Diceros bicornis minor: one gene and its partners. The protein of the gene in region 2 purifies or fractionates together with the protein of the main gene of each other region. This does not show direct contact. Links are inferred from orthologs where the notes say so. Each region holds a gene or a part of one and is shown on either strand. Other genes may lie near its edges. The genes, in order: WIPF1, NCK1, PAK1 and TNIK.

Evidence for each region.
Region 1: the proteins of NCK1 (region 2) and WIPF1 purify together in Homo sapiens (co-immunoprecipitation; 5 studies listed by BioGRID and IntAct, with this or other methods). This does not show direct contact. The link is inferred for Diceros bicornis minor from reciprocal best matches to the Homo sapiens genes NCK1 and WIPF1.
Region 3: the proteins of NCK1 (region 2) and PAK1 purify together in Homo sapiens (affinity purification with western blotting; 8 studies listed by BioGRID and IntAct, with this or other methods). This does not show direct contact. The link is inferred for Diceros bicornis minor from reciprocal best matches to the Homo sapiens genes NCK1 and PAK1.
Region 4: the proteins of NCK1 (region 2) and TNIK purify together in Homo sapiens (affinity purification with mass spectrometry; 3 studies listed by BioGRID and IntAct, with this or other methods). This does not show direct contact. The link is inferred for Diceros bicornis minor from reciprocal best matches to the Homo sapiens genes NCK1 and TNIK.

Annotation. Positions count from the first base shown.
Region 1 is NC_080749.1:55,574,780-55,582,688, reverse strand, and holds the start of WIPF1 (WAS/WASL-interacting protein family member 1), read left to right. Parts: upstream 1-4,893; 5' UTR 4,894-5,005; intron 5,006-7,909. UniProt on the Homo sapiens protein: Plays a role in the reorganization of the actin cytoskeleton. Contributes with NCK1 and GRB2 in the recruitment and activation of WASL.
Region 2 is NC_080741.1:16,032,741-16,040,571, forward strand, and holds the start of NCK1 (cytoplasmic protein NCK1), read right to left. Parts: upstream 3,002-7,831; 5' UTR 2,924-3,001; exon of another isoform or gene 2,889-2,923; intron 1-2,888. UniProt on the Homo sapiens protein: Adapter protein which associates with tyrosine-phosphorylated growth factor receptors, such as KDR and PDGFRB, or their cellular substrates. Maintains low levels of EIF2S1 phosphorylation by promoting its dephosphorylation by PP1.
Region 3 is NC_080746.1:53,894,069-53,901,883, reverse strand, and holds the start of PAK1 (serine/threonine-protein kinase PAK 1), read right to left. Parts: upstream 3,013-7,815; 5' UTR 2,616-3,012; intron 1-2,615. UniProt on the Homo sapiens protein: Protein kinase involved in intracellular signaling pathways downstream of integrins and receptor-type kinases that plays an important role in cytoskeleton dynamics, in cell adhesion, migration, proliferation, apoptosis, mitosis, and in vesicle-mediated transport processes.
Region 4 is NC_080754.1:50,589,137-50,596,344, reverse strand, and holds the start of TNIK (TRAF2 and NCK-interacting protein kinase), read right to left. Parts: upstream 3,013-7,208; 5' UTR 2,671-3,012; coding exon 2,614-2,670; intron 1-2,613. UniProt on the Homo sapiens protein: Serine/threonine kinase that acts as an essential activator of the Wnt signaling pathway. Recruited to promoters of Wnt target genes and required to activate their expression. May act by phosphorylating TCF4/TCF7L2.

The DNA of each region.
Region 1 (7,909 bases), on a different chromosome or scaffold from region 2:
TGGAGAGCAATTTGGCAGTATCTATCAAAAAGGGCAAACCCTTCCACCCTGCAATTCTGCTTCTAGGATACTAACTTACAGAAGTACATAGGTGCATGAGCATTTGAGAGCATGAATGTTTATTGTGCATTTTTAAAAGGCTAATAACTGGAAGTAACATAAATGTTCTCTAATAGAGGATTTGGTTGAATTATAATACATCATACATATAATATACAATATATAATACATCATGAAAGACTATGTACCTATTAAATAGAATGATGTAGATTTATATTTAGGGAAATGGAAAGATAAACCTTGATGTCTATGGTAGGTAGGATTCTAAGCTGGCCCCCAAAATTTCCACTCCCTGGTGTACACACACTTTCTCCCAGTTGTTCAAGCAAGCACTAATATAGATGCTGATGTAAAGGGATTTTGCAGTTGTAATTAAGATCCCAAATCAGTCGAGTTTAAGATAGGGAAATTTCCTCAATGGAGCTCATGTAATCAGCTGAGCCCTTAAAAGGGACTGGGTTTTTCCTGGTAAAAGACAATGGAAGTGTGAGAGAGATTCAGCGTGAGAGAGATTCTCCATTGCTGAATGGAGACATGACATGAATGCAGGTGGCCTCTGGGAGCTGAGAACAGCCCCCCAGCTGACTGAGAGCAAGGGAATGGGTACCCTAGTCCTACTATCATACGGAACTTAATTCTGCCACTGACCTGAATGAGCTTGGAAGTGGATTTTTCTCCAAAGCCTCCAGAGGAGAACTCAGCTTGGCTGAAACCTTGATTTCAGCCTGTGATGCCTTGAACAGAGAATCCAGTCATGCCATATTCAGACTTCTGACCTACAGAACTGTGAAATAATAAATGGATGCTGTTTTAAGCTGCTAAATTTTTGGTAGTTTGTTATGTAGCAACAGGAAACTAATGCAATAGATTACTTAGTAGAAATAGAAAGGTAAATTACAGAAGATGTATAGTATGATCCCATTCCCCAGGCTTTCCATAAATATTTGTTGATTTAAAAAAAATAAGGATACATAGAAAAAAAACATGGAGAAGAATATACATCCTACCATTACAGTGGTTATCTCTGGAGAATGGGATTGTGGGGGATGCTTTCTACATTTATGCTATGGAACACTTGAATGGTTTAGAATTAGAACATATTTTTAGTAAGGAACGAAAATGATAAAGATTGAAAATACATAATAAATTTGCCATCCCAGACTAAGATTTAAGTTTCGTCATATCCAACTCTTACTGTTTTAAGTTTTGGAGTAAGTTGTGGCCCAAATAAGTAAAACATTCAGCATTCAAGGGGTCGGTCTTCTCAGTTCTAGAGACTGGTCAATCCACTAAATATGTACTGACCACCCATTGGGTGCCAAGCACCAGCCAGACTCCTTCCCTCCAGCAGACCCTGATTCCCTGCACCATGCCCTGGCTGTCATGGTGTTCTTATCCCACATAGCATTCCACTTCCTCCCTGCATTAATTCAGAAGAGAGAACCAAAATCATTCAAGCTACTATGGCGCCTTTAACCAGATCTACCTGAACCCCAATAATTCTCTGCAAATATAAATAGAATATTTTCTTCTTTTGCTATTTTGCACAAAGGAATCTGGACGCTAGTCAATTCAGGTCATTCATACCAGCAGAAGCTCAGAGATGGAACGAACACAGGAAGTCAAGTTAATAGACAGTATGCATAATAGAGCAAGGATGTTAGTGTCAAAATAATCTGGATTCTGAACTTCACAAGCTGAGGGATCTTGGGTGGGTTACCCAAGCTCTCCAAGTCAGTTTCCTCATCTGTAAAATGGGGACAAATATCTAACTCACCAAGTTGCTGTGATAATTAAATGAGATACTAGATGTAAAAGCCTAGTGCTTGGCATTCATTCATCAAGTGGTAATGAGGACTAAGAATGTGCCAGGTACTGTGAATACTGCGGTGAACCAGGCAGGCAGTTCCCTTCACATGCCCCTCCCCCCAAATTGGGGTTACTGTCTACAGGGGAAAGACAGGCATTAAACAAGCAATTACAATAAACAAATAATTGTGTTTTTTTTGAGGAAGATTGACCCTGCACTAACATCTATTGCCAATCTTCCTCTTTCTTTTTTTCTCCCCAAAGCTCCAGTACATAGTTGTAGAGTTATAGCTCTTCTACGTGGGACGCCGCCTCAGCATGGCTTGATGAGTGGTGAGTAGGTCCGTGCCCAGGATCCGAACCAGCGAACCCCAGGCCACTGAAGCCGAGCACGGGAACTTAACCGCTACAACATGGGGTCGGCCCCAAAGTAATTGTTATAAGAGCAGAACTTCTAAGGCACTACAGGGCTAGTTTAGAGGTCAAGGTATGTCCCAAAATGGTAGCCATGGAAATGATAAGCAAACATGTATTTAATAATATTGTGCTCTGGTAAATTTGTCTTAATTTTCCCAGTCTCAATGTCCTTCTGTCTCCCTCCCTTCCCCTATCCCAAGATCATTATAACATTTCCAGCCTAGCTTTGTCTTCAAGCAGCACTCAAGAAGCCATTTTTTCTTATTAACTCATTTATACAAAAGTGTACATGACTGCAAAGTTTTAGCATAATACCTCTGCCCGCTCCTAACTTCAGTATCTTCATTTTAAGCTATGATTTGGCATCACCCAAGGGAAGAAGGTATCTGTTGTAGAATTTTAGGCTTTGATCTTTTTTTTTAATTAAAAAAACTTTTTCAGCTTGAAATTATTTCAAATTTACAATTCAGTTGTGAAAATAGTAATAAATGTTTCCATATTTGCTTCACGCAGCTTCTTCAAATGTTAACATCTTACATAACCATAGCCCACTTAGGGAAACAAGAAAATTACCAGTGATAAAATACTATTCAGACGTTGACCTTATTGAGAGAAGTGTTGGATCTGAGAAGAGAGAGCCAGGCGCATTCTGGGCAACTGATCACTGGCCTTACTGGTGATTTAAAACAGCGGACAATTCCGAACGCCACTTAGTTCTGGCTTCCAATGATGAAATAAGGGGAGGGGGCATGCATTTTACCTTGCTGATTTTCTTTTGTGTACACTAATGCTAAAATTTACATAGATTCTTGAAAGACATAAACTCAAGAGAGTTCTTATCCCAACAACTATTTAATCAATTCCTTACAAGGTGCCAGGAGCTCTGCTGGACTTGGGGATATCAAAGGTAAGTGAGATTCCTGTTCTAGTTGTGTGCCACTACTCTACTCACCTTTAGAGGGATTATCACATTTACTCCTTACAACAAGCTAGCAGATAAAAACTATTGTTATCCCCATTTGATGGAAGCAAAAATTGAGGCTTAGAGAGCAGGTAAGAAAATCAGACAACTCCTGGGCTTCACTTCCATGCCACGCTGTGATAAGTGCTATTGATTTTTTTTTTTTAATACTTTTATTTATTTATTTCTTTTTCCCCAAAGCCCCAGTAGTTGTATGTCATAGCTGCACATCCTTCTAGTTGCTGTGTGTGGGACGTGGCCTCCGTATGGCCGGAGAAGCGGTGCGTTGGAGCGTGCCGGGGAGCCGAACCTAGGCCGCCAGCAGCGGAGCACGAGCACCCAACCGCTAAGCCACGGGCTGGCCCTGATTTGTTTTCAAGTCTAGAATAACATACTGATATATGAACTCACTTGTCTTCATTTTATACAAAACATAACATGTGCATATTACCATAGAAATCGTTTAAAAGAAAAGCAAATATATAATGAATCTTAAACAGATGGGTATGTTTCGGGACAAAAGTTTGTCAATGGGAAGAGTTTACCCATGTTACCAAATCTCTTTCCCAGAAGGGTTATTGTGTCTGTTAAGAGCATGTCAAGGTACAAGTGTGCACCTGGGAATAGCGTAGGAACAGAGACAGCCTAAAGTTAAGGATGAACAACCTCCTCAGCCTAGGACATCAGTTCTGAAGCGCATATAGTCCCACTTTTTCTGTTTTTATTCGAAGGGATACACAGCCTTGGTCTTTTAACAATACGATTAAATGGTTATTATATTGATCAAAAGTTGTTGTTCTTTTCAAACGCACACATTCTAATATCTGTGTCGTCTTAGTGTTAACTTTTCTTTGGGGCCTGGAGGTGGCGGCTTTCAGAGCTGACCAGGGCGTGGTAACAGCTCTCGCAATGGAGGAGAGCCTCAGCTTTCTCCAAACGTTTGCTGTGATCCTACCGTATTTGAGGATGTGGGTGGCTGATGGTAGAGCCATCCCCGCCAGCAGCAAAACTACTGAAAGAATCCAACCCATTGGTGGGGAGAACTGGCAGCTTTCCACGGGGAGAGCAGCACTGTTGTCCCCACACAGGGGGCGGGGAGACAGATGCGTGTGGACCTTGGGGATCTGTGGGTTTCACTCCATTTTAAAATTCATTTTTAAAATGAATTTGAATTCGAGGTGTCTCAAAGCCGGATCTTCTCTTTTGAGAACAGAGGTGAAGGTGATAGGGAAAAAGCTTTCCCTGGGGGTGCGGGAGGGGAGCCCCAGCGGCGGGAAGCTGGAGAGGACGCAGTCTTTGGGGGAAAGGGCCCTTGGTTGGACCCCCTTCCAGTTCCCGCTCCTCTGCAAAGCTTGTCCTGGACCCCACGGCCGCGTCCCCTCACTGTGCTGGGGAAGGGGACGGAGGAACACACGAGCCCCAGCCTCCTGCCCACCGCACTCCCGCCGCCTCCTCGGGGGGACCCGGGGCTGTGGGGCGCAGAGGCTCAGGACAGGCAGGGCGGGCGCGGCGCCCGGAGGAGACGGCGGCGGGCCGGCGGCGGCCTCGCGGCGCGTCCACATGTGGCGGGGCCGCAGGGGGGGGACGGGGAGCCGAGGGGGAGGGTTTACATCTCAGCGAAGTTCCCGGATGGTCGCAGCCTCCCGGCGCTGAGCGCTTTTCCTGCCCGGCCGGCTCAGCCCTACGGACCAGGGAGAAGTTTCCCCAAAAATGCCCTGCGCGCCGCGGGGCCCTGGAGCCGCCCGGAGCCGCTGCGCGGTAAGGGACGCGCTGCCGCCGCCGCCTCGGGCGCCACCCGGTTCCGGGGTCTCAGGGCAGCGCCCATGAGGAGCCCCGCGGCCGCCCGGGACGCCAGGGAGGGGCCGGGCTCGACGCCGGGGCTCAGAAGCGCCCTTGGCACCGGGTGGGCGCGGGGCGGGTGAGGCGGGCGGGGCGGCCCGGGACGTCGGGGCGCGCGGCCTCGGGAGGGGCGCAGCTCGGGGCGCCGCGGCCCGCGCGTCCTGCGGGTCCGGCGGTTGCTCAGGGAGGAGGGGGCCGCGGGCGGTGGGGCTCCGGACGCGGGCGCCCCCCGGGCTGGGCGCCTTCCTGGGCTCCGCCGGCCCCGGGGCCGCCCGAGGGGCTCGGGACCCGCTCCCGCCGCAGTTCCCCGCGGCCCGGGCTTCGCGGGGATGCTCTGGGGGCGCAGCTACACCCCCAGCTCGGGCGGATGGACTCTCGGGCATCCCCGGGCCAGTTCGTGCGCTGGAACCGCCTCGCCTTCTTCGCTGAGGGCATCGTGCCCATCCCGCAGCTCGGCTCCCAAACTAGCCTCCGGCCGGGTGCTCGCTCTGGGTTGGGTGTAGACGCGCGCCTTAGGTTTGCGTTGACCTTAGAGGCACTTTCAGTCCCCGTCAGCGTCTCTCCCGGGCCTCTCCCGAACTTTCCGGACAGCTTCACTTCGTCTCACTCCCCCAACCTTTTTCAATTAACATATTCTTCCTTTTTAAAAAAGTACAGTTAAAAAAAGTTGCAAATGTTAGAGAAACCAGCTGACCCAGTCGGGGCGACCCAAATCTTCAACTGGTGCTTAGACTTTGACCTCTCTGAGATTAACAAAGGGTGTGTCTGTGTGAAGAACCGGGCCTGGCTAAATCTCTGGTCCTGCTTAATCTCGGAGGAATATCCCTTCCTGGGCCAGGGGCTGCTGGCCTTATCTTAGTTCTCCAGGAAGACTCTCGAGTTGTCAGTAGTGGCTGGGTGGACTTGGTCCCTTTTTCTGAAAATTGCGTGTCACTGTTGTCCCCTGGATAGTCCCCGGACCGCACCTCCAATCCCTGGCCGCGTGTAACCCCAGACTGCAGGCGGTGCAGCAGCGGAGCCCCTGGACACAGGCCCGCCCTGGGTGGGTTTTCTTTTGCCAGTTTCTCAAGGCAATTCAGAACAATACTGTAGCTTCATTCTGAGTCGTTGGCATGTTTTTCCTCCTCAAAAATGCCTTTTTCTATTGCGGATAAAATAACTCCAGGATATTTTCTATTTCAGTTTGTAAATCGCCTTTGGACTTCTTGAGATGAGAGAACCCCAAATAGGCCATCAGCATTTTGCATCTCAGTCACTCTTTACAGTGCTCAAAATACTACCTTCTGCTCTTGCTGTCTTTACCTGCCTATCGTCCCCACAAGGTTGAGTTTCTCAGGGACCAAATCCCCAGCCACCTGTAGGACTCTATTACCTGTTGAATGGAAGTGTGCAAATTAAACTCTGCAGGTGTTACTAAAGCATTTTAATAACATCATCTTCTTCCTTGGGACCTACCCAACTTCTGCCATAACTTTGGCTTCCTGAGAAGCACATAAACTCTTTTAGGTTTGTGTGATGTAAAGCAAATGGATTTGTAAGCAAGGTAAGATCAAATTCTGGGACATTTAGAGACAATGGGATTACTTCCAGCTGGAGAGATTCAGGCCTTTTTTCATTTGTGTATTCATTTGACCAATTAAGTGTCTACTGTCTGTTCAGCCACTTACTGGTGCCCTTTGGCCTGTCAAGTGGGATAATGGAGTGTGAAACAGCAAAAAGCCTCACGTGATGGCACAAGGCATTAGAGGGACACCCAGACACCAGGCAGTGGTCGCACAAAGACACAAGAGCGATAAGAGCTACAGTGTCTTGGTGCTCTGGCCAGGAATGAGCCCCCTTTTGTGGGAAGTGTTCGTCATTGGGTCTGTGTCACTGTCTTTGGTATTTCAGGGTGCTCCTAACTATGGTTGTCATTTTAGGAACATACATGGTTTCTACAGTGCCCACCAGGAGAACAAAACTAAACAAAAGTGCCTTTTATTTGTTGCTGTACCCCCTTCATTTTTAAGTATCTGCTATTTGGGATTCTGTATCTCAGAGCCGTGGTCTTCCTGAAGCCTGCCCTCCAATGAGGTCTCTCAAGTTGCTAGTGATTTCCATACAGAGGATGCTCTGCCTCTATGTCCTAGCAATCCACGGTTCTGCCATGGTGCTGGAAGGTTTGGTGGGCTTACACCTGTGAATGGCTAGGACCCACATATGTGAGTCAGGTCACAGTTGGAATCAAGCCAGATACTCATTTGACATTGAAGTTCCCTGATGGAGTCGATGCTGTGCCCTGTGCTAGGAGTAGAAGGGGAGACCTAGCTCAGAAGGAGATGCAGTTTGCCCCTGAACGCTTACCTTCTGGTAGAGATGAGACATGGTTTCAAAGAGCAAGAATGCAAGGCAGAATGTGGTAAATAAGGTAAAAAAGGTACAGATCAAATAAAGGGAATTTAGAGGGGAGTGAAATTACTTCCAGCTGGAGGGAGTCAGTCCTTGATTAGTTTGTCCATTTGACAAATATTTGTTAAGTGTCTACTGTGTGTCAGGCACAGGAAGATTAATAAACACATTCACATTGCTTTCCACCCTCACAGCTCCAACTGAGGAACAGTTCAGGTTCCGCCTCCCTGCCACAAATGAATGCTTCCTCCCTCGGCCTCGTTGTATTGCCCAGCCCAACATTTGCTAATTGTTCCTCACCACGTAGGGATTACAGTCAGGTCAAAATAACTAACTGCCTTTTGTATACTTTGGAGTAATAAAAACTCTAGGCTCACCAAAGCCCCCAGAAAACCTTCAGTTAGCTTAGTAATGCTATTCTGCTTAACGTGCTTT
Region 2 (7,831 bases):
TGCTGTTCCATGATATTATGATACAAGCCCACATAAGATTAAAAACCAAAGGAATGATAAAACAGTAAGGGCTATGGGTTCAAAGGAAAGTAGAGAACAGAAAGAGCTGGAAGATCGCACTGAAGGACCAAAAATGAAACTTCAACAAAATCTGACTTCATTTGCTACTTGGGTAATTAAAGGGGAAGAACTTCTTTTAAAGAATAGGCAGGCTATGCATAGGCATTCAAAGGCGCAACAGATATGAAGGTAGAAAAATACAAAATCTAAACAAGAGATTGGTTTGGTTAGAGCGGACAGCTTCTACAGAGAAATAGTGCTGTCATTAGAAAAAACAGGTTTTGAACAGATTGTCAGAAGACTAGGAATTCTAAACCACACACTGTAGACAACAGGAAGCAGTCACTGGTTCAACAGTGAGAGACATGTTCCAAGCATTATTTTAATTTTAAGGCAGAAGGCAGGACACACTGTGCAGGGAAAAAAGGTAAGCAGAAAACTCAATTAAAAGCTACTGGAAAAGATACCTGAAAGAAATTTCAAGAAATGGCTGACAAAAATTGGCCAATGTTAAGTTATGTGGATAGAGGAAGTCAAAGACAAAACCAAGGTTTGTGTCCCGGTAACTGAAAGCATGATAATATCACCAAAACAAAGTCAGCATATGGAATCGCTTTTGAAGGGAAGACTATAAATTCTATCTTTAGTTTAAAGTAAAGATCATCCAGGGCCGGCCCCGTGGCTTCGTGGTTAAGTGCGCGCGCTCTGCTACTGGCGGCCTGGGTTCGGATCCCTGGTACGCACCAACGCAACGCTCCTCCAGCCATGCTGAGGCCGCGTCCCACATACAGCAACTAGAAGGATGTGCAACTATGACATACAACTATCTACTGGGGCTTTGGGGATAAAAAGAAAAAAAAGGAGGAGGATTGGCAATAGATGTTAGCTCAGAGCGGGTCTTCCTCAGCAAAAAGAGGAAGATTAGCATGGATGTTAGCTCAGGGCTGATCTCCCTCACAAAAAAATAAATAAATAAATAAATAAATAAAGTGAAGATCATCCAGACAGAACCGTTGCCTTAATTAAATAATCTTTAAATGCCATTTTTAGCCCTGTCAGCTGTCTTCCTAAAACAGCACAGCTAAGTACTTACGAAGAATTTGTTAAATTGCTTAGTGATTTCAAGAGTTCCCTCCAATTTTACTTACAGACTAAATAAATAACCATTTAGTCTTCTGGTGTAAGTAGAAAACATTTGGTATTTTTCCATATTATAAAGGTGAGCAAATTGTAAAAGTTTTTAATAAATTATGATACGAAAAAATGGACTGCATCTCTATTTATTTAAATCAAGTCTTCCTGACAAGTGATTGACAACAATAATTACATCAAACCTACCTTGAGCTTTGGCAGGAAAGTTCTCAAAGGTCCAAAAGAAAAACAAATCCAGCAGCATACAGTATCACTCGATGCCTAACAAAACATTCTATGTATGTGTTAAGTTTTATTTACATCGACCTGAAAGCACTGGTAAAATCTAGACTAAAAGATAATGCTTAGAAAAATAAGGCAAACAATTTAAAATTTAATACGTGAACAAGCATAGCTGAGAAGTCTTGAACACTACAGTGTTTACACTATTATATAACTCCTGCAGACCACAATATGCCCAAATAAGAAAATCCCAGAGTTTGTGATCAACATAGCATGAAACTACCGTTAACCAACCAATGCATATTTCTTGCGTTACTATCAAACTGGCAATGGGATGCCTATTTAAGAAATGAACATTATTGACAACTACCAAACAAAACCGTCTTCTTGGATTATTTCTCCATTTACTTTGTGACCTCGCTGCAGACTGAGGTTTAGGCACAGTGGTTTCCAGGTGCTTAATAAACTCTACGGTTGGTTTTTTCATAAATCTACCAAAGTAAGATTTTTAAAAATGAATACCTCTTGCAACACTTACCCCTTTTGACCGGACACTGAGTTTCTTTGCTCACCACCAAAGAAGTGGTTAGAAAATTCTCCTCAACTTCATTCTTGCCTAACTCCAATGGTTCCTTACCAAATCTAACGGGCAGAATTCTTTTTAGGTGGCCAGTTCATCAGTTCAACATGATTTGAGCGCCTATGTTACGGTTCTCACCCCTGAACAGCTTCCCGAGCTTCTAACGGCAAATTGAACTTTTATGAAAACACATAAGGTTACAAACCCAGCCTACCGAGATTTTTTTTTTTTTTACCGGACATGTTACAAATTCAAGGCAAAAGCTCCAATACCAAGCAACTCGCGTACAAATCTACAGTCCACACCACTAAAACAACCCCGCTTTCCCGAGAACCAGGGAAACGCCGGGAGTGGGGAGGGGTGGGGGGAGGGGCAGAGGGCGCATCCCGAGGATGTCCACCCTCGACCCAGGGCACGGCTCCCTCCTCTGCTCTCCGGCTGGAGGTGAGCGCGCCCCTTCCCTCCTCTCCCACGTCCCCACCTTCCCGACCTCGGATTACGCCACAACAGGCAACAGGACTTTTTCGGGAGGAAAAGAAACAGGGAACGCGCGCGCTGCACACTCCACCTCCCAGCCTCACAGGGGCGGCCGGCCCGGCGCTCACCCGGACCTGACACTCCGGGGGCGGCCAGGGAAGCCGCGGGGCCGCGCCGCCCGGGGCTGTAGCCGGAGGTCGCGCAGAGCCGCGGGACAAACGCCCCGGCCCGGCCGAGCGGCCTCCCCGCCCCCTCCGGCTCAGCTCTGGGCCGGCAGACGGCGCCCCCAGGGCTAACTTCGCCGGCGAAGAGGAAGCAACGCAGCGAGTTAACAGGCTGTATGGACGCACGGAGGAAGGAGACACTGCGTGTCTGCCCGGCGGCAGGACCGGCTCACCTTCCCTCTGCCGAGCCTGGGCGGCGCCAGCTCACCTGAGGGCACCGGGACGACGCCGCGGCCACCGCGATGGCCGTTACGGCACGAGGCCTCCCCTCCGCCGCCGCGTAGCTCTCGGGAGAGGGGCGGGGCGCCCGCGGCGGGCGGGCGGGGCTGCAGCTCCGACTGGCCGCCAGGCCGCGGGCGGAGCGTCGCGGGCAGGAAACCCCCTCCTGGCCCAATCTGATAGGCTCTATCGCCGCCTTCCCGCCTACCCCTGAAGCGAGAGCTGCCTGCACCGCGCTGGGATTGGGCTGGCCCGCCTGTCAATCAAGAGCTGGGCTGGGCCTGGAGCGAGCTGAGGCTGCGCGGCGGAGAAAGAGAGGGTGAGAGGCGGGTGGTCTGACTGACTCGCGTTTCTTTTCCTCCGCGCTGAGTATTTTGGTCCTCCTCCTCCTCGGCTTCGCGGGAGACTCCACGGCAAAAATTACTGCTTCCCTGCTTCAGCCCCAACCGCTCCGGGATCTTCCTCCTGGTTTCTGCGCCTGAAGAAGGTCTTGTCAGATGAAGGTTCTTAGGGGCAGGGAGCGAAAAAGAAACCAAAAGGCCTGGAAATGAGGACCTGAGAGAAAAATGTTTAAGACGTATGCTTAATTTGAGCCACAAACCGAAATAAACAGTCTGAGAGGGTTTGAAGTGTCCTGGTGCGTGGGTAGCTTCCAGTCATCTTGTGAGGAGGACAGTGACCCTCGGTGCCAGCTCTGCCCACTCCTAGTGGCCTAGCCCCAGCCGCCTGCTGCTCGGCAGGAAGTGGGTTCTCCACGCCGGTGCTGCAGCCCCCATAACCTGCCTCATTCCTTCCTCTGTGGCTCAGCTGAGGCGTGGCCTCCTTAGGGAACCTTTCCTGGAACACAGGCATTTTCCCCATCCAGGCTGCTGAAATAGTTTGTCCGCATCCCTACCTGGATTGTAAACTCCGTTAAGTCAGGACGCGTGTCAGTATTCAGTTTTTCCCCAGTCCTGGCACAGGATAGATCGTCAGTAAATATTGTTTAAGGCATTAATACATTTTCCTGTCCTTGCTTTAATCCTGGCCCTGACTGTAAGTTCCAAGAGTTCACACTTTTCTGCATTTCACTTTAAAATTATTCATTTGAGTGCTGATAGACTATGTGGTTTGCTTGCCACGTATGGGATCATGAGATCAAGCACAAATCACCTCTGGCCCCTTCCTGGCCTGAAGTTGGCTGGGGCAAGTAGACCGTGAAACTCTGGGCAACAGCTACTGCATGGCTACATCCCATTATTAGCATCCAAAGTGAATAAGTGAATTTTTACTTTATTCTAAGGATCTAAATACCTTTGCATATGTTATCATGGCTGCTATGGACTGAATTGTGTCCTCTCCCAAAATTCATGTTCAAGCCCTAAACCCCAATGTGACTGTACTTGAAGATGTCGGTCATGAGAGGACACAGTGGGCAGGTGGCCATGTGCAAGCCAGGAAGAGAGCTCTCACCAGAAACTGACCATGCTGGCACCCTGATGTGGGACTTCCAGCCTCCAGAACCGTGAGAAATTAAATTTCTGTTGTTTAAGCCACCCAGTCTGTGGTATTTTGTTATGGCAGCCCGAGCTGACTAATAAAATAGTTTTATTTGTTGACACATAAAGTTTATGGATTGAGATATTATTATATTCATTCTTGAAGCTGGAGAAACCATTGTACAGAGGTTAAAACTATTTCTCCAAAATCACACAGCAAACTGTTAGCAAAACCTGGCTCAATTTAATTGTAGTTACATATTTAACTTGATGGGGGCAGGGGGAGTGAATACAAATACAACAGGTAAAGTAGTCCTTGCTATCAGGTAGCTTATACCACCATCTTAAGTGTGGAAAATAAACCCAGAAAAAATATGCTGAAGTCGTAAGTTTAGCTTTTATTTTGTAAGGGAATATGTATTTTGAAGGGGCCGATGATCTAAACAGACCCTTCACAAGATTTTTATCCAAATCTCTTGACCCTTGTGTGCCACCTATTCAAGCAATAGAAGTAAGGGAGAGAGCTTTTTCATACAAGGGTTTTAGTTCCCTGTAAACATGCTTTTTCCTTTTAGTTTTCTTTCTTTTAAGTTTTCTCATCACCCATTCTTACCAGGAACTCTTAAAAAAAAAGAAAAACTCAAAAAATAGATGAAAAAGAGGAGGAATAAAAGAAGGAAAAAAGGAAACAGCAACGAAAGAGGAAAGCATTGGGTGGAAGGGCAGAGAGGCAGAAAGTCGTGTGAAATTGCAGTATAGGGTACTTAGAAGGAATGGAGTCCATGTTCTTATCTTATGGGGTGGAAGTTTTTCCAGACACTTTCTTGCACACACTGTCTCCCCAACTTTCAAACGTAAACACACACGAGGCTGCTGCTTCCTCTCTTTTTGAGGAACTCAAACCAAAAACAGGAATCACTTCTCTTAATTAGTGCTGAGTAGACCAGGGTCTAGCCAGAATCAGGCAAGAACAAAATTTAGGTCAAAACTTATGACCTATGGACTGGAAATGTGGCTTTGGATATGAGAAGCTAATCTGTCTAGGATAAAAACATGCAGGCGGCTTACTTTATTAATCCCAAAGGAAAGGATTTGGGAAGACAAGAAAGGGAAAAATGAGCCTCCATGTCTCAAGGCCTTTCCCAGGAAACTTGATAGCTTATGGTATCATTTCTAACTGTCATTAAGTTATGATAGTTGTGATAGTTAGTTATGATAGAAATGATTAGAATGATCTAGTTTAGCATCACTGTCAAGCAGGACTGTTTAGGACAAAAAAAAAAAAAGCCCTACCTACTAAACAGCAAGAAGTAACTAATCACAGGCTTGATCATGATGTATAGAAATTAGTGGACCCTGGTAACTAAATTTAATTTCTGCATTGAATATTGTTGTAATTTTCTGGGCATTCAACAAAAATTTATTAAGAGTCTACTTTATGGAAGGCATTATGATAGATACTGGAGATCTAAAGATCCATCTCAAATTTAAAGAAGCTCAATTCAGTGTCAGAGAATGAGATTTGGGGGCCGGCCAGGTGGCTCAAGCGGTTAAGTGAGCGCACTCCGCTGCAGCGGCCCGGGGTTCGTTGGTTCGGATCCCGGGCACGCACCCACGCACAGCTTGGCAAGCCATGCTGTGACGGTGTCCCATATAAAGTGGAGGAAGATGGGCGCGGATGTTAGCCCAGGGCCAGTCTTCCTCAGCAAAAAAAAGAGGAGGATTGGCAGATGTTAGCACAGGGCTGATCTCCTTACAAAAGAAAAAAAAAAAGAGAATGAGATTTGAACAGATACTTATTATTAATGTAGTAAATACAGCAATAGATATGTACAGGGGAAATTAAGCCACAGGGGGAAAGGAGTTGTGTGATCAGGCTAGTCTAGCAATTAGGTGGGCAAAGAAGAAAAGGGTTTTCCACATAGAGGGGCCTGATAAAAAAGCTATTACAGGGCCGGCCCCGTGGCTTAGCGGTTAAGTGTGCGCACTCCGCTGCTGGCGGCCCAGGTTCGGATCCCGGGCGAGCACGGACACACTGCTTCTCTGGCCACACTGAGGCCGCGTCCCACGTACAGCAACTAGAAGGATGTGCAGCTATGACATACAACTATCTACTGGGGCTTTGGGGGGAAAAAAATAAATAAAGAAAATCTTTAAAAAAAAAAAGGTATTACACAACAGTAGAACACTGCTGGAGCAGAAGATGATGAGAAATGTGAGCAATAGCGGGTTGTGGAAGTTAAGGACCTTAGACTTTATCCTACAGGCAATGAGAAACCATCAAAGGGTTTTCTTGCAGCACTTTAAAATGTCATTCTCTTGTTTCTGATGAGAAGCCAGCTACAATTCATATCGTTGTTTTCCTGTATTCATGTATCTTTTTCTCTGGCTGCTTTTAAGATTTTGTTTCTTTATCAGCAGTTACACTATGTTTCTAGGTGTAGTTTTCTGTGCATATATCCTGCTTGGTTTCACGTATTTCCCTAGATCTGTCAATTGCTGGTTGTTGTTGTTTCCTTTTATCAATTTAGAAAACTTTTGGCCAATATTTCTTCAAATACTCTTTTCTGCCCCATTCTCTCTCTCTCTCCTTTTCTAAGACTACACTTATGCTAGACTTCTTAGTCCTTAGTACAGGTCATTCCAGGCTGTGTTCATTTTTTTTCAAACCTTTTTCTTTCTGTGCTTCAATCTGGATAATTTCTATGGAAAGCCAGTGTCTAATAATTCCTAGAAAATCTGAATGTTAATATTTTCACAAAAGCACAGACACCCTACTAATGACTGTGGGTTCCTTTGGGGAAGGTTTGGAGACATATTAGTCAAGAAAACAGAAATCACAAGATATTACAACAGAGAGAATTTAGTATTGGGTATTGATGGACTGAAAAAGCAGAAAGGGAACACTGAAGTAGCCCAGAGGTAATAACTGTAGAGAGCAGCTGCCGCCCTAAGGCTTAGTGAAAAAGAGGAATCAAAGTTGGACTATCAGGTGTCAGAAGCTCAGAGGAATGACCCAGCTGAGCTGTAGCTCAGATCCCTAAGAGGCTGCTGTCCAGCTGGTCCTACTGCTACTGACAGGGGAATGATGACGCTGGTTTGGGAGGTGGAGGAGTGCCAAAAGAAGCTCAAGGCTGAGATCAGTTGCTGCTGCTGGAGCAAAGGGCTATTGCGTATTGATGGGGTAACAATGACAGAAACTGCAAGCAAACAGAAGGGAGGAAGTCCTTTCTCCCCTTCTCCTGTCTTCCAGTCTCTCTCTAATGCCCTTTATTGGTGGAACCTAGTGAGACACCAGCTGGCATAGGAAAAATGTAGTTTGCAGGGTATGAGCCATGGCATCATGGAGGAAAGTAAAGAAGGGTGAATTTGGAGCTAAGATAGCTCAATAACAATTGTTTAATAACCAGTACCATATC
Region 3 (7,815 bases), on a different chromosome or scaffold from region 2:
AATGCAATGGAATAGAATAGAATGGAATGGAATGGAATGTCAAGCAGTAAGTGCTATGAGAAAAAAGAAGGGAGGGAGGGACCTGGCAAGAAGCTGGTCTTATCAAGAGCAGATCTTTTAACATAGTGGTTCTCAAACTTTAGCAGATATCAGAATCACCTGGAGGGCTTGTTAAAGCAGAGGTTTTGGGGCACCAACCCCAGAGTTTTTCAGTTGTAGGTCTGGGATGGGACAAATCATTTGCAATTCTAACAAATTCCCAGATTATGTTGATGTTGCTGGTGCAGGCACAACACTTGGAGCTATTGTTCTAACCCAAAGGATCAGGTAACCTCTGTCTCATGGGTCTTGACTTGCTTCTTCATTCATACATTCATTCATTCATTTCAAACACTTACTCAGTGCTAGGAACTTTGCTAGGCACTAAAACTAAACAGATCCTGCCCTCAAGAAATTCACAGGTTAATGAAAAGACAGGCATAAACTCAAATAATTGCAATAGAGGGCTGGAGAGCTGTAAGAGTGGTATATACATGAACCAGAGGATGGAAGAGCGACTCATTCTAAGGAAGTAATAGGAGAAGAGATTAAGGTGCTGCTGCCCAGAAGTCCAACAAGCACTTATCCACCGACAGGTAGGGGGTAGGAGGCCGGCATTCTGAACAGAAAGAACAGCACGTGCCAAAGTAGAAATGAGAAAGAGGATGGCAGGGGAGTTAACAGAAAGTAAAGGGGCAAAGGGAGGCCGTAGTCTGATCTCTGAGAGCTTCTTATTCATGTTCAAGAGTTTGAAAACTTATCTTTAGGTAATGACTAGTCAAGGGTGGGAAGAAAAAACGTGATTGGTTTTGTTTTATAAAGATCTCTCTGGAGACATAGTGCCCGCCTTTCAGAAAGCACTGCTTCCTCCAAGCCTAACACGGGGCTTCATAATGTGCTTAGTAAACGATATTGAATTGAACTGAACAAGCTTTTTGTCTTATAAATGAGAGACAGGTCACCACCTTCCCTGCAGGACTCACTTTGGCCAGGACAAGACTTGTAAAGCAGGTCCAGCAGCCTCAATTATTGCACCCTACTCCCTGTACAACGGGAGTCCCCCAGAGATTAGGGCAGGCCTTCATTGTTTACATGCCGACCTCACCCACTAGACTTTGAGCTCTTTATAAAGACAAGGAATGTCTGAACAGCCCCCATAGTTCTAGCAGGAGACCTGAAACAGAGTAGCTCTCCAGACTCCAGTAATGTTGGGTAAATGAATGACTGAATAAAGCAAATTTACCAGCCAGACCTAGGAGCCCCTATAGGTAAGGTTATAGACAAGCTTCAGAGACTGTTTCTGGGTTTATGTTCCCAAAACCGTTTTGGAGCAGTGGAGTTTCTAGGTGAGGTGAAGTGGATTTCATATGCACCTGGTTTAAGATTTCCCAAATAGGAACAAAGAATGTTACAAGTGCTGTAGTAGAAACCCTACCAGGCCTCTGAGGGCCTCAATGAGAAGTCAGTTTTGCCTGAGTAGTTTGGGGGTGAATGCCAGCAAAGACTTCATATGGGGTGGAGAGGGTTCTTCAGTGGAGTCTTGAAGGCTGAGTAGGCGCTTGTTACCTGCCTGTTTCTAGGGCATAAATGCAAACCCCCGGAGCTTTAAGGCTGGAAGTGACCTGCCCAAGGTCACACAGGAAGTAGGTGAAGTCACAAGGTGAGACCAATGAGGCATCTATGTACCGTGTACTGTTGACTGTTTTCTCCTGACAAAGTTGTGAGAGTCCAAAAACACAAGAGGAAAAACTAAAACAATTTTCTCAGGAACAATTCTTAAAATAAAGGCTAGACTAATGCATTTGAATTTTTATTGGTAACCGTAGTACTAACTCTTCCCTTCACCTTTCACAGTTCTGGAGGGGAAAGTCTAAGACAGTTATCCAAGGGGTTTAACAAACAAGCACTTTGCTCCCAACACCCAAAACTTCTCAAGTATTCTTCCAAAACACTCCCAGCATTTTTTGCTGTTAAAATATTCAAGACAGTAAAGGCTATAATAATGTCTTTTGAAATGGAAAAAGGAACATAAAATAGCTATAATTCTCCTTTCCCTGTGTTTTTAACTCCACAAGTTGCCGAGTACCCGGGGTGGGGGAGGGGCTGCAAACCCAAGCACCATCCAGTCGTGTTTTTCAAGGAGCTGAACCCTCCAGGTGAGTCCCAGGCCCGGACAGGGGTGCGTTTTCCAGGCAGAATGAGTCGGACGCCCCTGTGCTCGGCTGCCCCGTGGGGGCCCAGGGTTAGCGCCGGACGACTGCAAAGTTCGCGAGGGAGTCGCTCCGCGCCCGGGACCTGTCGGGGCTCCCGGCCCCTCCCCTGCCCCCTCCCGGGTCCCCGGGGTCCCCAGCGCCTGAGCCCGGCGGCCGCGCCGGGGGTGCAGGGGGCCTTTGTTGGTCCGACAGGAGCGGCCAGCCCCGCCTTGCCTCACCTGGGGCCCCCGGCCGCCCGCCCGACCCCGGCGCGCGGAATGAATGGGCCCAGGCCCCTCACCCCGCGCCCGCGCCCACGAGCACGCCCGCGCCCCGCCGGGCAGCCCGGCCGCCGGGGGTACCGGGCGGGAGGCCGGCTCTCACCTTCCGCGCTCACTCGGCTCTACTCGGCTCCTCCTCCTCCTCCAGCCGGTGGCGGCGGCCGAGCCGGGAAGGGAGCGCACGGGGAGCCGCTTCACTTTCTCCCTCCCGCCGCCGCCGCGCGCTCGACGCCTCCCCCACCCCGCTCGTGCCGGGAGTCCCCTCAGGACAGGGGGGATCAGCGACCGAGAGGCGGGCCGGAGGGAGCTGGGCGACGAGGCTGAGGGGGTGCGGTGGGGGGTGGGGCCTTGAGGGGGCGCGGGCGGACTCTGGGGGAGGAGGTGGGGAGACGGTTCTTTGAAGGGTTTTGAGAGCGCGTGAAAGAGGGGACAGGAGTCCGAGGGGAAGCGTCTGTGGAGTAGGACGGCAGAGCGGTGAGGGAGGCGCGAGGGACGCAATGAGGGGCGTCTCCTGTGCTGCCGGCACCTTGGGCTCCAGATGCAGCCGGGGCCGGGTCGCCTCCCCCGCCCGCCCCGCGCTATTGTATGCCGCCGGCCCGGGCCGACCTCCTCTCCCCCGGCCCCCGCCCCTCCCCCGGCCCCCGCCCCTCCCCCGCGAGGCCTCGGCGCCGGCGGAGCCCGGCCAGCCCCGCCTCCCGCAGGTGGGAGGGGGCGGGGAGGACCGGACAGACACGTGAGCGAGGCCGACCCAGGCGAGGGGGATGGGGAGCGCCTTGAATGACGTCATCGGCGCATGACGCCAGATGGTGGGGAATCACCCGGCTACCGCGTGACGTCATTGCGCCCGCGTCTCGCCTCTCACCCCGTACTGTCTGCCGGTGCAGGCTTTTTTTGACGTGCCCTGTCCCCGGGAAGGTTTGGGGACGATTTCTGGAGGCATTGGTGGTGTAGTCAGGGTCAAAAAAGACAGCTAATCCCCTGGTTTTGTGGTCTTCGGGTTACAAAGCACCACAGAATCCTCTGGGTCATTGCCAAAAGCTGAATTTGAAAACTACCTCATCTCCTGTGACCTCAAAGGCAGACATTTATTATACTATTTGCTTTCTTTGCGGGGGGAGGGCCAGGGAGACAAAGAAATGACAATGGAGGTTTGAACTATCTTGAAATAAATGGGTTCCCTTTCCCGTTTTTCTCCTACCACTGAGGCTACATTCAACCCAAACCTTTCCCCTGAGCTCAGATTCTGTATTTCCGAGTGCCTCGTGGACAGCGTCGTTTGCATACTCGACTGTACCTCAAATTCCACAAGTCCAAAACAGCGTTAGTGGCTAAGGGAATCATTGCCTTGGTTCAAATCCCAGCTGTAGAAATGTTAGTGATAGGACCTTAACCTTTCCAAGCCACAATTTCTCCATAATAAGTAGTACCTGAGTATCCTTAATTTGATCTCTCTAAGCCCCAGTTTTTCCCTAATAGTAATAACTACAATTTAGCACGTATTAAACCCTTGGGAATGTTGGCTATTCCTATTACCATTTTCCACCAAACTTGTGACTCATGCTGTTTCCTGGTCTCAGTGAGTGGACCACCATCCAGCAGTCCCCTAAGCCAGAAACATGGACATAGCCCTCATTCTTCCTCTTTCAACACCTTTATCAAATTAGTCCCCAAATCCTGTAGAGTCTCCTTAATATTTCTTGAGTCCTTGCCCTTCTCTTCACTCACTACCTCCTGGACAACTGGAGCAGGTTTCAGCCTCTCCAAATCCAATCCATTCTTACATACAGGGTAGCTTTTTAAAACCACAAATCTGATGATGATCACTTTTAAATACTGTTTAAACACTCTGAAAGGCTTTTGTTGCTTTTAGGATAAAGTCCAAACTCCTTAACTTGGCACTGTACAACCTTGGTGCTTAACAACAGCCTTTCCAGCTTCCTCTCACACATGTTATCTTTTGCTCCAGCCACACTGAAATACTACTTAATGTTCTTTGAACACACAGTTCTTCATTTCTCTGGGCTCTTCTCTCTTTATGTCATTGGCCAACACTCATTCATTCTACAAAGTCCAGCTCAAATGTCATGTTCATTTATTCATTTGACTAATATTTCTTAGTTTCTCTGAGCCTTCACAATGCTGTAATCCGTAGTACTTCCCTGCCTTTTATGGCGTGTAGCACACTGTGTGGTAACTGTACTTGTGTATCTGACTCCCTGAGCCCCTCGAAAGCAAGTCATATTCCTGTCCATGCTATCTGGATCCCCAGTGTCTGACACATAGTAAGAATCAATGTTATAAAAATGTATTTAATAGATGTTCACATAGTGCTTACTATGTGCCAGATACTATTCTAAGCACTATCTCCTTTAAACCTCTAACAACCCTTTGAGATAAACTACTGTTATTCCCCCATTTTATTGATGAGGAAATGGAGACAAAGGGGGATTAAATAACTTACACCGACAGTGAATTATTCTAAACGAAACTGTTTTTGCATGGTCTCTGTGTAGGCAGAATAATGGCTGCCTAAAAATGTTCACATCCTAATCCCCAGAACCTATGAGTATGTTACCTTCCATGACAAAAGGAATTTTGCAGGTGTAATTAAATTAAGGATCTTGAGATGAGGGGGTTATTCTGGATTATCCAGATGGATTTAATGTAGTCACAAGGTTCCTTAAAAGTGGAAAAGGGAGGCAGAAGAGTGAGGAAAAAGTCGATTAGACTACAGAAGAGGTCAGATGTGAGATGTGATTCAATGTGAGAAGCACTCCGCTCACCCTTGGAAGACAGAGGAAGAGAGCTACCAGCTAAGGAATAAAAACAACTCCAAAAGCTGGAAAAGGCAAGAAAACGGATCCTTTCTTGGAGCCTCCAGAAAGGAACAGGGCCCTGCCAACACCTTTTAGCCTAGTAACACCCATTTTGGACTTCTGAACCCCAGAACTATAAAATAATGAATATGTGTTGTTTTAAGCACTACATTTGTGATAATTGGTTACAACAGCAATAGGAAACTAAAACAGTCTCAGATCAAGGGCGGCTGCACTATCCTAACAAGTGGGAGAGGGCTACTTGCTAGAGGTGCAAGCTTCTCAGTTGCATCCACCCAAATATCTCCATCCCAGCCTCGGGGTCCCACTCCCACCTACAAGAACCCTGGCTTTAGCGTTAAGAGAACAGTCAAAGGATCTCTGCCACCCTAACTATTACATTCTGGGCCTGATTTTCAGCATAGTCTGCTTTCCAGCTTCAAGAGAAGAGAGTTTTTAAAAAATCTTCCATGGAGCTCTTTTGGCTTTCATACCTGGTCCTGAATTGACAGGTGGATGACCTGAGCCTGAAATTCTCTTTCTTCAAGGCTTTTAAGATAGTTAACAAAATCAAGCCAATGCTACGAAATTAATTAACATTACCCCCATACCATTCAAGTGCTAGAGCATGCATTCTCAATGGGGGCAACATCTCCCCAAAGGAAGTGAAAACTGAAAAAATATCTTAGATATTACAATGGTTTGTGGCCTCCAAATCTCAACCCTATTTGACAAAATCTTATTCCTTAGTATTTAACTTCTCTGGCCAGGGATGCTTTATTTTTATGTACTTTTTTATTGAGATATAATAGACATATAACATTGTATTAGTTTTAGGTGTACAACATAATGACTTGATACATGTATATATTGTGAAATGGTTATCACCATAAATTTTGTTAACATCCATCACCACATATAGTTACAAATTTTTTTTTCTTGTGATGAGAACTTTGAAGATTTACTCTCTTAGCAACTTTCAAATATACCAAGTAATATTGTTTACTATAGTCACCATGCTGTAGATTACGTCCCTAGGACCTTATTTATCTTACAACTGGAAGTTCATACCATTTGACCACCCCCCACCTGGGATACTTTAAATTTAATTTAATTTCTCTCCTTAGGAGGGTAATATTTAAAATTAAATTAAATTAAAAAGGTTGAGAATCCCTGTGCTACAGTTACTGCATAATCTGATGTTCTCCTTCCACTTGTGCTTCCAGTCTACCGCGAGTGAAGAGCTTGGTTGTTGGGACAGCACAGCATGTCAGGGTCTATCACTGCTCAACTTACCACCAACAATAGAGTCCTTGTTGCCGTATGATCAGTGAGTGATTCAGTCCAGAATCCCATCCTGAGGGTCTTTACTCTGGGATAACTCTTGGTCTCAACTACCTGAGTTTAGGTCTCCCAAAATCAGAGCCTGAGATAAATACTTGGGTGTAGGTAGTTTATTTCGGTGTAGGTAGTTTATTTTCCCAATCCTAGGAAACTGGAATGAGACGAGAGAAAGGGAAAGCCAATGTAGCGTGTGTTATTGAGGTTCTCACTTCTGTCAGAACTTCAGAGAAGCATACAGAATGCCTCCCAGAATAGACCACCTGGAAGATGAGAGCTTTTGTCTACTGGCTTCCATCTCTCATTGAGTGAGGGTTATCCCCAGGGCTGTTGACTCCCCTAGACGTTGTGGCTTTGTTTGCAAGTCTAGCAAGTGACTACAGATGTCAGAGAAGGTCCAGAGGCAGAATAAGGAAAGATGTGAAGTGTACATTTGAGGTGACACACTAGCAGCATGAGGGGAGTTGGAACTGTTCACCACAATTGCGGCTGAACTCAGAGGTGGTCTAAGGGAATGTGACAACAAGTACCAGAGATGTCTGCTACAGACTAAGTAGGTTTCATTTATACATTCACATTGTAAAACCAACTTTAGTAGATAATTGCAAACCTGCTTTCCAAAATAATTGAACCAATTTACACTCCCACCAGTTATTCCATATCCCCACTAATACTTGGTATTATCAATCTTTATTATTTTAATCATTCAGGCAGGTATGTAGTGATCTTGCATTATTATTTTAATTTTCATCCCTTTGATTACTAATGAGGTTGAAAACCTGTTTGTAAGTTTGTTGCTCATTTGGATATCCTCTTTTTTTTTTAAACTTATTTTCTTTCTTTTTTTGGTGGTGGGGGGAAGATCGGCCCTGAGGCAACATCTGTTGCCAATCCTCCTCTTTTCTTCTTTTTTTTTCCTCCCCAGAGACCCCAGTACATGGTTATATATCCTAGTTGTAGGTCCCTCTAGTTCTTCTGTGTGGGACGCCACCTCAGCCTGGCTTGATGAACGGTGAGTAGGTCTGAGCATAGGATCCGAACCGGTGAACCCTAGGCCACGGAAGCGGAACATGTGAACTTAACCGCTGCGCCACTGGGCTGACCCCTGGATATCCTCTTTTGTGAAGTATCTGTTCAGATCTTTTG
Region 4 (7,208 bases), on a different chromosome or scaffold from region 2:
GCAAAGGGTTTACAAAAAGAGCATTGACTGTGTACACTAAAGAGCCACCGAAACAGCAAGGGACTGGTAAGGCTGCATCAAATTCTCCTAGAAGCCACTGACCTTGGCTGCATTTCAGGGGTCAGGCATTCCCCAGGAGGTTCTCAGCAGGCTGGCTTTACTGAGGATTTAGGAACAAATGGACCTCTCATCTAGATTAGCCCACCTCTCCTGATTTGGGAAGACAGAGAGATGATCTGCCCTCTGATTTGTGGAGATTACCTATGTGGCCTTTGAACCCACTCGGGGCTTGCACACCTCACCCACCACAGGGCTGGTCACAGACCCTAGCCCTCTGGATGCATCTATCTCCACATGGGCATTTAAGTTCTCCAGCCAGCAGTTCCCCAGCTCCTGAGCTCGCTCTAGCCCTCTCTTTCCACACCTCCTGCAGGCAGAAATAACAGAGGCAGAGCACTAAGCCCAGGCCACAAAGAGCAATGTCAGTGAATCCTGCAAAGATATCTTTTCAAAACACAGATCTCAGGATCACAGCCCTCCCATGTGTGGATTGCACTCCAGGCCAGCTGGTGGGCCCTCAGGGTGGCTCACAAGCCTGCAGGCTCTGTGCTCGGTATCTCAGAAAACCCTCCCCAGGAAAATAAGCCCACGAGAGAGACCTCTGACTGAGCCCAACTTAAAAATCACATCAGAGCGCTTTCCATTAGAGGAGTGACGTCGAGATTCCAGCTCAGGGAAATCACAAGCCTTGCCCATTGTTCAGACTTCATGCCCTGCCTTTGCCACTTTCCCCTACCCTGAAGTCTGGGCCATCTATCCACCTGCTTAACCCGCTGGCAGCAACTCCCAGCGCAGAAAGTAGGGCAAATGAACACAGTCTATAAAGCAGGAAGCCACAGACTTGGCCCAAGCACCCACCCTGTTACCAACCCCCACCCCCAGCTGCCCAGGGGGCAGCGGGTTCTGAATGTGGCGTTTCGGCGCCAGGGCAATAGACGGCTTACTGTACGAACATATGAATGGGCTTTTGCTGCCCAACTATCAAAAAAGCCAGTTTCAAATGGCATCTCTTGTTCCTTCTCAACCCCTTGACTGCCTTGCAGAAAACTCACCTCTTGGATGGAAGGATTCAGGAGAAAGGGAAGGGGAGCATAAAAGGGGGGGATAGGGAGGGGGGATTGGGGAGACTAAAGAAAAAGTACCACTTTGACCATAAAGGTAAGTCTTTAAAATAACCGTGGATGAGGAGGCAATGTCACAAGTACTGAAGATTCAGGTACACAGCGCCGAGATTTAGCATCAGTCTAACAATGTATTCCTCGGGAGGGCGTGTGAACTTCCGAGCTTCACCCATCCCGCCTGTCTCCGCGTTGAGAGCCACCATCAATTCGGTCTCACCGACCCTCCATGCCTCAAGTATATGAAGCGGCTTTGGCTTTTTTTTTTTTTTTTAATTTTATTTTTGGTTCAGGAGAGGAAGAAGCCGTCCTTCAATTGGTGTCCAATCCTTCTCAGTCCCCCCGTTGTTGCTGCCACCCCCACCCCTCACCCCCTTCCCCGCAGGCAGCATCTAATTAAAATGGCAAGAAAAATCTGCCCCCTTCCCCAAAGGAGTGTGTTGGGACTGAGGGGTGGGGGTGGGGTGGCGTCGGGGCTGCACTGGGATTCCTGGTATTCTCATCTCAAAACAACAGCAAAATGGATTCTATACCAGTGATGTCTTAGTCAATACAATGAAACGGCAATTCACGTGAAGGTAAATGCAAACCAGCGGGGCCGAGAGGGGAAGGGAAGGGCTCTACAAAGGACTGGCCGAAGACACAGGGAAAATACACACACACACACTCACACACACACTCACACTCACTCACTCTCGGGAGTTCCGGTCTGATTGGGGAAAGGCAGAGAACACATCCTTTTCACCTGCTTAAGTTCAGCCATAAAACTGAAATGTCACAGCCACAGAGTCGGAAAGCACAGGCAGGGCTGAGTTAAAGCCATAAATAAAGGTGAGTGACAGACTGGCATTTAAGAGAGCGCTGAGAGGGAGTCGGGGCGCAGAGGGCAGAAAAGGGGGAAGGGGCGGCAGTTGCCATCGACAAGACTAGCATAGCAATAGCTGTCCCCTTGGAGGGTCAGGTTCGGCTTCGTGGGGAGAGCCAGGCTCACAATACCATCTTGCAGGTAGCTGGAAAACGTGAGGACCCAGTGCCTTTATTCACGCTGTTCTTCTTTTTGCAGAAAGGGACAGTGGGGTCTCGCGCCTTGGCACGAGACGACTGCCCGGAGCTTGTGTACACACACACACACACACACACACACACACACGAGCTTTTCATTTTAATGCTCTTACTCCGGTCTAAGATGAAACTGGCATAAGCTCCACGTGCCCTCGGGGGAGCCTCGGCCACAAACGAAGGAGGACACGTACCGCACAGCCCCTGCCGTGGGGGCTTAGCCAAGAGCACCTCAACAGCCCGGAATCAAAACCAGAATCCAGGTTCCGTCCGCGTCGCATTCCCCCACCTCTGCCCACCAGCTCCAGCCCCAGTCCACGCACCGAGCCCATTTACCCTGACCCAAACCACTGGAAAGAAATCAAAACGTGCTCACCCTCAGAGCCGAGAGATCGATTTCATCCAGGCTGCGGGCCGGGGAGTCGCTCGCCATGTCTACTTCTTTGCCGGAGAAATGGACCAAAACCACCCCGAAGCTTCTCCCTTGGAAATTCCACCTTGGTCTATCTCACTCGCGTCCTCATGCGGGTGTCGCGCCAGAGGCCCGGGGCCCAGCCTCCCCCGCCCACCCCCGCCCCACAGCGCCTGATCCCGATCCTCCGCGCCTCGGTCCGCGGGGTCCGGGAGCCCAACCTGCGCGGATCTCCAAGCCCGGAGCCGCGGTGTGTGTGGGCTGCGCGCCCTGATCGGCTAAGGGCGCTGGGGCTGCGTGGGTGTATTTAAATGGGACATGCTTCTTTGCTTGTGCGTGGATGGCGGCTGCATTGGCTGTTATAATGAGACACATCAACTCCTCCACTCAGCTGGGGGGGGTGGGGGTGGAGAACCACACAGAACTGTCTATCACCGCTTCCTGGGAGGAGTAAAGGGGGGGGAGGCGGAGGAGGCGTGGTCTCCGACTGGGGAGAGGCCGCGCTTCCTGACCCGGTCGCTCTGCACCAACGTGTGTGGGGGAGGGGCGCGCACCCTTTCCGCCCAGGCTTTTGCTGGCTAATCCGGCCGGATTTGAAGAGCTGTCCCTGAACTCTGCCGTGCTTATCGTGAGGACAAGGGGGCTTTATTTTTGTGTGTCCAGTTCATGCGCTGGAGCAAAATGGCCCTTCAATCGCATCTGGGGGTTTCTCCACAGGGTTCAAATACTCTAGCGCTGAAAAAAATCCAGAGGAAAAAAAGAGCGACGCCCTCCCGCCCCCATTAATTATTTGTGGGGCTGGAGTAACGCGGGCTGGTGCAACCGGTGCATATAAGGACTTGTGTGCTGGGAAGGGGATCCGCCTCCAGCCGCGGAACGAATGGGGGAGAAGCGCACTCGCACAGCGCGCCCAGCCCCGCGCTTTGGCAATGTGCAGCGGCCGCTGGGTCGGGTCTGCCAGCGGTCCCTGGGATTCCGGATGGCGGGTCTCGAGGGCCGGTCACTCGCCGTTTCGGAGCTGGGAAGGTTTGCCAGAAGCGGGAAAGCTGGGAGATCTGAGCTCCCTCTTGGCATCGCCACACCCAGGACCTGCCCGTGCCGCAATTCCCCACGGAAACGACCGAATAGAAACGAGAAGCTTGTTCTCTGGGTGCAGTAGCTTGAATGCTTCAGGTAACTCCAAAAGCAAGACTGGGTATGGCAACACTCGCCGCCTCAGGACCCTGCATTTCCCCTTCAGGCAGCGTTTCCGCGGCTGACCTACCCAGATTGATGGAGAAAGTTTGGCTGGGGGAAGAAGATGGAACGTAAAATGTATGTAAATCGCGTGAGAGCGATTTTACTCCGCCCGCTTTCTCATTTAAAGACTGAACGTTTACAGTGGTAAACACGACATTCTGTTATCAAGCGTGTGAAGTCATTTCCCCCAACTCCCCGCACAGCCCCTCCTCTCCAGCCCTGGTGGGCACGCGAAATACATGCGAAGAAACGCTAAAATTGAACTTTCCCCCAAATACAGCAGTAGCTTTGAAAGCATTATCTGCACCTCTGTTAAGATGAGCATTTACTTCTGGCCAAGTGCTCTGCGGGTTTTTTAATTGTGTGATGTGAATATCAGCTTCAGAATAAGGCTTTTGAGTGAATGAATGAAAGCCAAGGCAGTCAGTTCATCGCGTCTCCAGGCTTTACAAGACTTTGACACAGCATTCGGTATACGCTGTGCTGTGTTTGTTAATATTACTGTATCTATTTATGTGCGTTGTGGATCATGAAACTTGAGATTATTCCAACATCTTAGTGGCCACAACAGTAATGTTTAGGAGCTTTTACCATTAAAACGTCAAACGTTTAAACGTGTTGTATTCAAAACGCTCGGTTTCATCTCTCATGTTTTTAATAAAATCATCCAGCTCGAGGTTGTAAGTAACGTGCAGTAAGCCACCAATAATGTCGAAACGACGTTAAAAACTATCATTTCCCATCAACATCGTTATTTTTCCCTTCTCTGTCCCTTTGTTATCCTTAATCTAGATGACAGGTTAATGTATTGTCTCAATGTTGAAAGAAAATAATTTAAGATCAGATATTGAGATCTATGAACAGAACTATTTTTAAAACTCCAGGTCCGGCCCGTGGCTTAGCGGTTTAGTGCCCGGGCTCCGCTACTGGTAGCCCGGGTTCGGACCCGGGCGCGCACCGACGCACCGCTTCCCCGGCCATGCTGAGGCCGGGTCCCACATACAGCAACTAGAAGGATGTGCAACTATGACATACAACTATCTACTGGGGCTTTGGGGGAAAAAAAAAAAGGAGGACGATTGGCAATAGATGTTAGCTCAGAGCCAGTCTTCCTCAGCAAAAAGAGAAGGATTAGCGTGGATGTTAGCTCAGGGCTGATCTTCTTCACAAAAAAAAATAAATAAATAAAATATTTATTAGACAGGGTATCACCCCAGGGAGCTGCTCACCAATTGCCAGGAGAAATGGGAACACACACCCAGAAAGCAAACTACCTGCATCCCCTGCCCTGTACCATGTGCTGTCCTGCCCCCCTCCCCCCCTCGGCAGAGCAAGCACTCAGAATTAGAATTGGCACCACAGATAGGCAAATCAGATTTCCAAACACTAAGATGCACAGACAACCCAGAATTGCCAATCATCCCTAGAAATCTATTACTATGAAAGAGAGACCAACTTCAATCAACAAATGATTGAACACCCAAAGTTATTTTTAATAGAGCAAAAACAAATTTTATAGTATATATTTTTTAATCATCAGAGGGATAACACAAGATCTTACATTCACAAAACAATGAGGTTGTTATGAAAACAAACCAGTTAGAGGACTAATTAAGAATATATTTATTGAAATTTTAAAAATGAATAGATAGATTGAACAATAATAATACTTTGCTGCAAATACTCTTCTCAGCATTCATATATTAACATTTAATCTTTATAATCTTATAAAGTAGGCAATATCATTAGCATATTCATTTTACAGAGGAGTAAACTGAAGAATAGAAAGGTTAATTAACTTACTTAAGACAACACAGTAATAAATGGCTGAGCCAGGATTTGAACTCAGGCTCTTAATCACCATGCTGTACTGACTCAGGCTGAACTGAAGGGTGAATTAGTAAACTAGAAGGTTGGGCCTAGTTTTCTTCCAGATTGCAGGAAAAAAGATAAAGCAATGAGCAAAATTTTAAGTAATATGGAGAATAAATTTAGAAGTTCTAACATTCATCTAATAGGAGATCTGGAGAATGGATGGAAGGAGATACTTAAAGAAATGATAGAAAATGTTCTAGTGTCTTCAGGCTAAAATCTCCTGTTTAGTGAATAAGTAAAAAATACTACACTCTAAGGCATCATGATGGAATTTCAGAGCATTAAGGATAAAAAGAAAATTCTAGTCACCTACTCCTCATTAGCAACAATGGATGCTAGTAGATAATGGAACAAAGTATTCTAAAGGAACTGTTAGAATTCTCTACCCAACTAAAGTAACATTTAAGAAAGAGTATAGAATAATGACATACTTTCAGACACATAAGGATTCAAATGGTTGATCATCTCTTAAATTATCATTGGAAAATATATTCTACCAAAGAATCCAGAAAAAAATGTGCCACACAAAAGACAATGGTAAGCAAATGTAGCAGACTGTTATCCACTCAAAGTCATTCTCTTTCTTCTTTACTAGGAAAATTCTGATTTTGAGAATTTATCCTCCACGTGTTTAAAGAATATGGGTTCTCCCCAGCCCCAGAGGGAGAGTGAATGTTAAATAGTCTAAACTCCTCACAGTAATTCTATTCTCTCTCCTAATGATTAGTTTAGACAAAGGCATATCATGCAACACTGACTAAAGAAAAGTCTGGTGGGGGTTATAAGAATGATTTTCCTCTTTGAAAACTTAAAAAAGAAAAGAAAGAAAGAGAAGAGAAGAGGGCCAGGGAAAGCTTCCTGCCTATGGTAGCCACCCTCCAAGATGGCTCCCTGTGAGCCTCACCTCTTGGTATTTAAACCCTTTGTAGATCCCTCCAACATAGAACACAGACGACTTCTAAAGCTGGGAAGTAAAAGGCAATTCAGCTTTTACCTTGTTCTCTTGGTTCACTTGTTCTAAGGCAGAGTTTCTCAACCTCAGCATGTGTCTGATAATTCATGCTGTGGGGGCTTGTCCTGTGTGGTGTGGGATGTTTAGCAGCATCCGTGGTCCCTATCCACCAGACGCCAATAACATCTTCCCAGTTGTGACAAACAAAAATGTCTCCAGACATTGCCAAGGGTCCCCTGGAGAACAAAATCACCCCCAGTTGAGAACCACTGCTCTAGGGGAAGCCAGCCACCATGTCCTGTGGATATTCATGCAGCTTGCCAGCTGTGTGAGTGAGCCTCCCTGAAGTAGATCTTCCAGTCCAGTCGAGCCTTCAGATGACTGTGATCCCAGCTGGCCTGACTGCAAACTCCTGAGAGATCCTGAGCTAGAACCACCCAACCAAGCTGCTCCCAAATCCCTGACCCACAGAAACTATGAAAAATAATAAATT